Xenopus tropicalis: one gene and its partner. The protein of the gene in region 1 binds, or shares a complex with, the protein of each later gene. Links are inferred from orthologs where the notes say so. Each region holds a gene or a part of one and is shown in the gene's direction. Other genes may lie near its edges.

The links. Proteins that work in one complex are often made in the same cells at the same time.
Region 2: pole3 (region 1) and pole share a complex: the UniProt entries of both Homo sapiens proteins name them as parts of the DNA polymerase epsilon complex. The link is inferred for Xenopus tropicalis from reciprocal best matches to the Homo sapiens genes POLE3 and POLE.

What each region holds. Positions count from the first base shown.
Region 1 is NC_030684.2:2,369,046-2,374,314, forward strand, and holds the start of pole3 (DNA polymerase epsilon subunit 3), read left to right. Parts: upstream 1-2,113; 5' UTR 2,114-2,157; intron 2,158-4,417; 5' UTR 4,418-4,432; coding exon 4,433-4,498; intron 4,499-4,890; coding exon 4,891-4,976; intron 4,977-5,269. UniProt on the Homo sapiens protein: Accessory component of the DNA polymerase epsilon complex. Participates in DNA repair and in chromosomal DNA replication.
Region 2 is NC_030677.2:144,162,837-144,167,550, reverse strand, and holds part of pole (DNA polymerase epsilon catalytic subunit A), read left to right. Parts: intron 1-1,978; coding exon 1,979-2,081; intron 2,082-2,168; coding exon 2,169-2,249; intron 2,250-2,589; coding exon 2,590-2,712; intron 2,713-3,567; coding exon 3,568-3,780; intron 3,781-3,885; coding exon 3,886-4,098; intron 4,099-4,182; coding exon 4,183-4,326; intron 4,327-4,661; coding exon 4,662-4,714. UniProt on the Homo sapiens protein: Catalytic component of the DNA polymerase epsilon complex. Participates in chromosomal DNA replication.

The sequences.
Region 1 (5,269 bases):
TATCAGGAGTCAGAACCAGCAGTGCAGGGAAGGGACAGACACAGTGACAGTTACACATAACTATAAACCCAGTGAGAATGAGGGATGAATGGGTATTGGGGAGTTGTATCAGGAGTCAGAACAGCAGTGCAGGGAAGGGAAAGGGACAGACACAGTGACAGTTACACATAACTATAAACCCAGTGAGAATGAGGAATGAATGGGTATTGGGGAGTTGTATCAAGAGTCAGAACCAGCAGTGCAGGGAAGGGAAAGGGACAGACACAGTGACAGTTACACATAACTATAAACCCAGTGAGAATGAGGGATGAATGGATATTGGGGAGTTGTATCAGGAGTCAGAACCAGCAGTGCAGGGAAGGGAAAAGGGACAGACACAGTGACAGTTACACATAACTATAAACCCAGTGAGAATGAGGAATGAATGGATATTGGGGAGTTGTATCAGGAGTCAGAACCAGCAGTGCAGAGAAGGGAAAGGGACAGACACAGTGACAGTTACACATAACTATAAACCCAGTGAGAAATGAGGGATGAATGGGTATTGGGGAGTTGTATCAGGAGTCAGAACCAGCAGTGCAGGGAAGGGAAAGGGACAGACACAGTGACAGTTACACATAACTAATAACCCAGTGAGAATGAGGAATGAATGGGTATTGGGGAGTTGTATCAGGAGTCAGAACCAGCAGTGCAGGGAAGGGAAAGGGACAGACACAGTGACAGTTACACATAACTATAACCCAGTGAGAATGAGGAATGAATGGTATTGGGGAGTTGTATCAGGAGTCCAGAACCAGCAGTGCAGGGAAGGGAAAGGGACAGACACAGTGACAGTTACACATAACTATAAACCCAGTGAGAATGAGGGATGAATGGGTATTGGGGAGTTGTATCAGGAGTCAGAACCAGCAGTGCAGGGAAGGGAAAGGGACAGACACAGTGACAGTTACACATAACTATAAACCCAGTGAAGAATGAGGGATGAATGGATATTGGGGGAGTTGTATCAGGAGTCAGAACCAGCAGTGCAGGGAAGGGAAAGGGACAGACACAGTGACAGTTACACATAACTATAAACCCAGTGAGAATGAGGAATGAATGGATATTGGGGAGTTGTATCAGGAGTCAGAACCAGCAGTGCAGGGAAGGGAAAGGGACAGACACAGTGACAGTTACACATAACTATAAACCCAGTGAGAATGAGGAATGAATGGGTATTGGGGAGTTGTATCAGGAGTCAGAACCAGCAGTGCAGGGAAAGGAACAGACACAGTGACAGTTACACATAACTATAAACCCAGTGAGAATGAGGAATGAATGGATATTGGGGAGTTGTATCAGGAGTCAGAACCAGCAGTGCAGGGAAGGGAATGAGGAATGAATGGATATTTGGGTGTAGGACACACATAAGGAGTCATGTGACACAAATGACATCACCAAGCACAGATTATAACAGATGACGTCAGTAATATTATATCATTACATTTCAGTAGGGATAATAATCACGTCTAAACCCTCCCCTGAAATCGGGCCCCCAGATCTTTTAACCCTTCATTGCTATAAAGGGATGTGGGAGTTGCAGTCCAATCACGGTTAGTAAGAGTAAAGGGGAAGCAAAGCCTTAGGAACATATTTTGTGTTATTTAACCATCAGGTGTCACATGACTGAGACCCTTACGGGAACAGACCCCCTGTCAGCATCAGACACTGCTCATTCACCCCAATATCTTCCTGCCCCGATTGCGCAAATACAAAAAAAAACTTACCCTCTCCCGGTTACCATAACAACAAAAGACGCTTCCGGGAACATTCCCAAGCAATATGGCTGCCGTGTATTCCAAGCCTCGTTCTCGCAATGAAAGTTCTGCTGAGTGGTTATGAGGCTTGGTACGCGCAAGGCATTCCCGTTACTAAAACCCTCCTCTGTTCAGGTGACACAGAGCAATGGCGGCCCCTTTATTTTGTAAGGTGGAACGCAAGGCGTTAGGAGCGACTGTTGGAACGCAAGCCGGGGGGGGGGTTTGCGTTCCAATAGGGGTTCCGAGGGGCGGGGCTTCTGAGCCACGTGGTGCTGGTAAAGGTTCGGCTGGAAGGCGGGAAGTGGAGAAGGAGGAAGAGCGCGTCTGGTTATTGTTCCTGTCAGTGAGGGGCCCTGAGGTACAGTATGGGGGGGGGGGTGTATCATGGGGCTGGTGGGCCTGTGCGGGGGTCGGTGGGTGCCCAGCTCATCACTCTAACTTTAGGGCTCAGTAACCTGCCCTGTGGTGTTGGACTACAGCTCCCAGCTACTCTCTTTCCCTGCTGTATATTACTCCTGTTCCTGCCCCTCTCCTACCCAGGTACCGCCCCTCCCCTCCCCAGGTGCCGCCCCTCCCCTCCCCAGGTACCGCCCCTCCCCTCCCCAGGTACCGCCCCTCTCCTCCCCAGGTACCGCCCCCCTCTCCTCCCCAGGTACCGCCCTCCCTCCCCACGTACGCCCCCCCTTTCCCCCCTCCCAGGTGCCGCCCCTCCCTCCCCAGGTACGCCCCCCTCTCCTCCCCATGGTAACCGCCCTTCTCCTCCCCACGGTGCCCCGCCCCTCCCCTCCCCAGGTTGCCGCCCCTCCCCTCCCCAGGTACCGCCCTCCCTCCCCCAGGTACGCCCCTCTCCTCCCCAGGTACGCCCCTCCCCTCCCCAGGTCCCCGGCCCCTCCCTCCCCCAGGTACCGCCCCTCCCTCCCCAGGTACCGCCCCCTCCCCCAGGTACCGCCCCTCCCTCCCAGGTAACCCCGCCCCTCCCCTCCCCAGGTGGCCGCCCCCTCCCCCCAGGTGCCGCCCCCCCCTCCCCAGGTGCCGCCCCTCCCCTCCCCAGGTACCGCCCCTCCCCTCCCCAGGTGGCCGCCCCTACCCCTCCCAGGTGCCGCCCCCTCCTCCCAGGTACCGCCCCTCCCCTTCCCCAGGTCCGCCCCCCCCCCGCCCCTCCCCTCCCCAGGTGCCGCCCTCCCTCCCAGGTACCGCTCCTCCTCCCCAGGTACCGCCCCTCTCCTCCCCAGGTAACCGCCCCTCTCCTCCCCAGGTACCGCCCCTCCCCTCCCCAGGTACCGCCCCTCCGCCTCCCCAGGTACCGGCCCTCCCTCCCCAGGTACCGCCCCTCCTCCCGCAGGTACCCGCCCCTCTCCTCCCCAGGTTACGCCCCTCTCCTCCCCAGGTAACCCCCTGCCCTCCCCAGGTACCGCCCTCCCCTCCCCAGGTACCGCCCGCTCCCTCCCAGGTCCGCCCCTCCCTCCCCAGGTGCCGCCCTCTCCTCCCCAGGTACGCGCCCTCTCCTCCCCAGGTGCCGCCCCTCCGCCTCCCCAGGTACCGCCCCTCTCCTCCCCAGGTACGCCCCCTCCCCAGGTGCCGCCCCTCTCCTCCCAGGTACCGCCCGCTCCTCCAGGTACGCCAGCGCCCCGCTCCTGCCCAGGTACTGCCCTACTCCACTTATACCCAGGTCCTGCCCCGCTCCTGCCCAGGTCCTGCCCCTCTCCTCCCCAGGCACTGCCCCGCTCCTGCCCAGGTCCTGCCCCTCTCCTCCCCAGGCACTGCCCCACTCCTCCCCAGGCACTGCCCCTCTCCTCCCCAGGCACTGCCCCTCTCCTCCCCAGGCACTGCCCCTCTCCTCCCCAGGTACCGCCCCTCTCCTCCCCAGGTACCGCCCCGCTCCTCCCCAGGCACCGCCCCTCTCCTCCCCAGGCACCGCCCCTCTCCTCCCCAGGCACCGCCCCTCTCCTCCCCAGGCACTGCCCCTCTCCTCCCAGGCACTGCCCCTCTCCTCCCCAGGTACTGCCCCGCTCCTCCCCAGGCACTGCCCCGCTCCTCCCCAGGCACTGCCCCACTCCTCCCCAGGCACTGCCCCACTCCTCCCCAGGCACTGCCCCTCTCCTCCCCAGGCACTGCCCCACTCCTCCCCAGGCACTGCCCCGCTCCTCCCCAGGTACTGCCCCTCTCCTGCCCAGGTACTGCCCCTCTCCTGCCCAGGTCCTGCCCTGCCCAGGTCCTGCCCCGCCCCTGCCCAGGTCCTGCCCTACCCCACTTATACCCAGGCACTGCCCCGCTCCTGCCCAGGTACTGCCCTACCCCACTTATACCCAGGTACTGCCCCGCTACTGCCCAGGCACTGCCCTACTCCACTTATACCCAGGCACTGCCCCGCCCCTGCCCAGGTCCTGCCCTACCCCACTTATACCCAGGCACTGCCCCGCTACTGCCCAGGCACTGCCCTACTCCACTTATACCCAGGTCCTGCCCTGCTCCTGCCCAGGTACTGCCCTACCCAGGCACTGCCCTACTCCACTTATACCCAGGTCCTGCCCCGCTCCTGCCCAGGCACTGTCCTGCTTATATCCACTTACTGCCCTGCCCATACCCAGGTACTGACCTGTCCCTTTCCTGCCTTCCAGTTGTAGCTGAGCAGAATGGCCGAGAGACCGGAAGATCTGAACTTGCCCAACGCTGTGGTCACGCGGATCATTAAGGAAGCTGTAAGTGAAGTGTTAGCTGTTGGGTTTCCGCTGTTGTTCAGATGGGTCTGCCATGTTCTACACCCTTACAATAGGACTCCACTAACAGAACTCCTGATCCAGTTGGCACTACTGGGTTCCCTCCCACAGCCCAAATACACACACAGGCAGCTCATTGGCCCCTGATAAAACTGCCCCTGTATGTGTGTAATAAGGACCTTAGATTGTAAGCTCCATGTGGCAGGGGCTGATGTTTAATCTCTGCATGGAGCTGCTATACATGTTGTGTGTATATATATATATATATAGCAGCTTGTAGTGTCATGTGATGCAACTCCCTAGGGCTGTAGGGTCTCATCACCAAACCAACTTCCTAAATGCTCCCAACTAATGCTGATTGTCTTCTCTTCCAGCTCCCAGAAGGGGTTAATATCTCCAAAGAAGCACGGAGCGCAATATCCCGGGCGGCCAGTGTCTTTGTATTGTATGCGACATCTTGGTAAGGGTCCCAGGGGTACTCTGTACTGTCATAGGGAAACACTATGGCACCCCCTACCCATATGTATAAATACAAATATACAGAGAGGGAATGTTCTGGGCACACAATAAGCTGTACCTCCATACTGTACTGTCTAAGGGAAACACTATGGCACCCCCTACCCATATGTATAAATACAAATATACAGAGAGGGAATGTTCTGGGCACACAATAAGCTGTACCCCCATACTGTACTGTCTAAGGGAAACACTATGGCACCCCCTACCCATATGTATAAATACAAATATACAGAG
Region 2 (4,714 bases), on another chromosome or scaffold:
ATTTTCGTTAAATTCTACGAAAAAGTAATTTTTTTGAGACTGTGACCATTTCAGAATTTATTCAAGCTTTGGTATCGTGACATTCTTTTGGCCAGGTTGGTGCCATTGAGTCCTATAAAAGGCTTCCAAAATCATGCATTGAATTTCAACGCCAGAAAGGTTTTTGCGCTGTTTAAGATCGTTCAGATATGAAAATTTTGTGACTTTCGGATCACAACCACATTATTTTCGTACGACCAAGAAAATAATTTTTGCACAATTTTCGCACATCAGAAATTATCATGGTTACTCCGAATTTTTTCCAATCGTGCTTTTAATTGGCGAAAATTCGTGCCTTAATGAATGTGCCCCCAAGTGTACTATAGTAAGAAGTATGGAGAGAGATTTCCAAGCAGAGGAAATCTACAGGCAGGGAACATTTGAGAGGCCTCATGGTGAGGTTTTCTTTTATAGCCTTCACCTTCTTGGGGCCAATGGTCTAGTCAGATCTTTCGGCCTCCCGCACTGGTGGCACTTCCAGATATCTTTCAGCCTAAACCTGCCTGTCCTGCATGTTTTGGGTCACTTGGCACATCACTTTCAGGGCAGTTTCCAACCCGCTTAACTGCTTTCTTGCTCCTGTGCCCACATGCCTCTGCTTAGTCCAAGCAGTTATAGCTGGTGCTTGGTGAAGGGGTCCTCTATCAATAGAAACACTGGATTTCTTGTTTTCCTTTGGATAAACATGTTCTTCGGTATCAAACTTCCTCTCTCGAAAAAATCCTTCTTTCTCCAGGAAAAGTCTGCACAGCTCTCTCCCTTCTCCTGCTCCCCCTCCCATAAGAATTCACTCCCCCTCCCATCTGAATGTATGATCTGAGTTACCAGTGGCTAGAGCTACAGCACAGAAACTACAGAGTCCTAGCTAAAATGGCAGTTGCTATCTTTAACAAACAGGGAGTTTCTAGGGTTGTTTACTCAGGTATGTTAAAGCTTTCTACAGATTAAAAGGTGTTCTTGGACTTGCACTGATGTTGCTAATCTATTGGCATAAAATGCCTTGCCTTCTCCTTTAAGCATGCAGCCAACCTGGCTGGAGACATCATGTGATGTTATGCTGATTGGGCACAGTTTGCTAATGACTACCTCAGTTTATGGTCACTCTAAAAAAAGGATGCTCTCCTTTCATGTCCAGTTTAATGGTTAGGCTGATCTGTTAGTCTAATCAGCCTCCGTTGAGGCAGAATCCATGTCTGGGCATGATTTCCTGTTTTGAACTCTAGAAATGTTTAAAGGGGAAGCATTTTGAGGGAATCCGCAGTGTCAATCCACACTTTGGTCAGTGCAGTATTCTACCCTTAAGATCCAAGAATCTCCAGAATCTGACCAAGCAAAGTCTTTTTAAATATCTTGTAAAGAAAACTCAATTTTCCAGCCCACAATCAACCTAAATGTATTGCTTTTTTTTTTAGCGGGGACAAAACTTAAAGCACACCCTTCCTCACATAGGGGGGTAGGTTAAGCCAAGTAATAGCCTGTGTCAGTTTATAGTATGTCCATAGTAAACTTAAATTTGTTGCAGGCCCGTTGGGTCAAATTTGTATAGTAATTTTCTTGACTTATGAGGCAATGAACAGGCTGCCTTTAAAGCGGTTGAAGGCGTACTCCACTAGAGTGATCAGCATATCCTAGGCAGCTAGGCTTAACTGCTTGTCAGCAGGTTTATCAATTTATATGTTTTCCGAAGTTCTATATTTGAATGTTCTGCCCTTAACAGGTGGTTTCTTTGAACAGAAGGTATAGCTGTATTGTGGATGACTGGCCCACTGTGCTCGATTTCTTTCACCCTTGGACTGTTATGGGGCTGCTTTGATAGTTTTCATTTGTTCCTATGCCTCCAAGAAAACAAAAAGGGCTTTGTGTATGCTGTTAAAACCTTTTGAGTCATTTGGAAGACTGGGGTCTGGTAATTTTATTTAGTTATATTTTTGTTCCGCAGGGCCATTCCCCTGGCAATCTTCCAGGCTGAAGTGGGTGTAAAAAGGCATTACTTGCGAAAGTGGCTAAAAAATCCTTCCTTGCAGGACCTGGATATACGTTCTGTAAGTTCATAATCAATGTAATATTTTGATATTTCCTATTAGCACCTGTGGTTTATTTTTATCTATAACCCTATTTCTACCCATTAGATTCTAGACTGGGATTACTACATAGAAAGATTGGGCAGTGCAATTCAGAAGATTATTACCATCCCAGCAGCACTGCAGCAGGTATGTAGGGGACATTGTCTGTATAAGACACACAGAGGAACAATAACCTGTGAAGTTTGGCGCTTGCCGGTGCTGCGTGATCTCCCTATTTTAGTCAAACTTGTTAAAACTAAAAAAGAAGTTTATGTATCTGGGGATTCATATGGAATCAAAGCAAAGTGTGCTTTTGTATACACCAGCAGGTATCTGCAGCGATAGTTACCGTTTCTATTCATAAAGTTTGCAAGTAGCTTGAAATCTTCCAGCAGTCACTTCTGCGTAATGTCTTCGAATTTTTGTGGCGCAAGGCATTAACACTGTTAAATCTTGTATGTCATACCCTTTGTTGTGTCTCTCCTAGGTGAAGAATCCTGTCCCACGTGTACGTCATCCAGACTGGCTTCATAAAAAGCTGCTGGAAAAAAATGATATCTACAAACAAAAACGAATCAATGAGCTGTTCACCAGTGAAGGCAAAAGACAGGTACTTGACCGTTAATTGTAGTTAAATATCATATATGAAAGTTCAGAGTGTTTTTAAATTTATATATTCCTTTCTGCTAGTTATCCACTTTACTGCAGGAGCAGCTGCTTATTTTGAGATATTTTTGTTAACATAATTTTAAATTGTTGCCAGAGCATTCTTAAGATTGTTTGCAATCCTTTATGGTATTTCAGTTTACAAGGCTGAATACTTTGATAAAGGGCCTTCTTTTTGTCATCATTAGCATAGTTTTGGTTACTTAGCAGAAAAACAAGAGTAACTGTGCTATAAATGTTATACCTTTACATTGTTTGGATTGTCTTTAGTTGCAAGATATTCTTGAAAACGGTTAATTATACATTGGTTTTATGTAGGTTTTTGTCCAGTCATCATCATTTTTGTTTAATCGTGCTAATGATCCAGTAAGTGCCATCAGTTTGTTAAAGGCAGAGTGGCTTTATAGCAGAAATCCCTAAATAATCATCTCTGAGCTATCCTTAATTGTGACTTGCACGTCAAACCATTTCTTTACAGTAATTAGATCAGAGGTAGCAGCCCTCTTCTCCATGATGCCATGAAATAATAAGATTTCCACTAATGCAATTTTTCAGCTGGGGAGGATATTGAATCACTTTACACTGTGATGGAACAATATTAACTCTTGAACTTCAGACCTGCTTGAAAAATGAAAACGCAACACATTATATACCCACATATATTTTTTGTTTATACTAGTCAGAAAAGTTTACGCGTATATTACCTGACTTGTTAACGTTTTCGCTGGCTCAGATAACATTTTTGCCTTTGTTCTTTGTATAGTTTAGTGTTTTTTAACTAATTTATTATCTGAACCAGATCACTGCCCAGATGCAGCAGCCGGATTCCTCGCAAACTCCAGACATGGAAGATTTTGGAATAGGCAAGCGTCTGCAACCAGCAGTGCCAATAAGCACCAAAAGAAAGCGTGTCCCAACAGCTGAAGACAGCCAAGGAGACTCCCAGAACCTGGCTCTTACCCAGTCTTGGCGTGAAGTTTTGGGACCGCCACCTCCACTAGGTACCACCAAGGTGAGCAGTCCTGTCTTTACTTGCTACAAAAAAGCAATGATGTATTCCCTTGTGATACATTTTGATGATTAAAATTTGGAATGGTAATACATTTTGAACCAATAGGAAGAACGTCTAGTCTGGCTCCGTTACCACAAGAAAAAGTGGGAGCTACAGGCACGTCAACGAAAAGAGCGACAGAAGAAACGAAGACTGGAGGATGGAGATGTGGCACCAGGTGCAGGAGGAGTGATACGAGAAACCCAGGCAGCTGGACTTGGCAGTTTTTTGAGACGGACTGCACGCAGTATTCTAGACATGCCATGGCAGATTGTGCAAGTATGTGGTCTTTTATTTTATTGTTCTGGTTTCGAGGTAAGTTTAAAATTCCTAATAGATGGAACTGTTTGGTGTCTTTTACAGATTGGTGAAAGCAGCCAGCCGGGGCTTTTCCGCCTGTGGGCTGTTATTGGCAATGACCTGCACTGCATTAAACTCAACATTCCTCGTGTTTTTTTTGTGAACCAGCGCATCCCTAAACCGGAAGAGGGAGCGGTCTACCGGAAGGTGAGCAACTGCCTACTGTGTTGCAGCTTAAAAAGATTTTTGCATAAAAAACATTCTGGGCTCTGTACTGAAAGGCACTAAGTTTGACTTGATGCAATAACCCACAGCTACCAATCCTTAGGTAGAATTTACTGGTCACATGTTTTAAAAGCTAACATCTTATTGGTAGATATGGGCTACTGGGCAAACATAGTGCTTTTTTATTACATAAGGGAATATACATTTAATGCACAATGATGTGGTTTTTGATCAGAATGCCTATTTCTGGCTTGTTTTGCAACTTGTTTTGATTTGAATTTTCTTCTTAAATTGACTTCTGGTTAACTCTCCTTCAGGTAAATCGAATCTTACCTCGGTCTAACCCAGTCTACCATCTTTATGAATATAC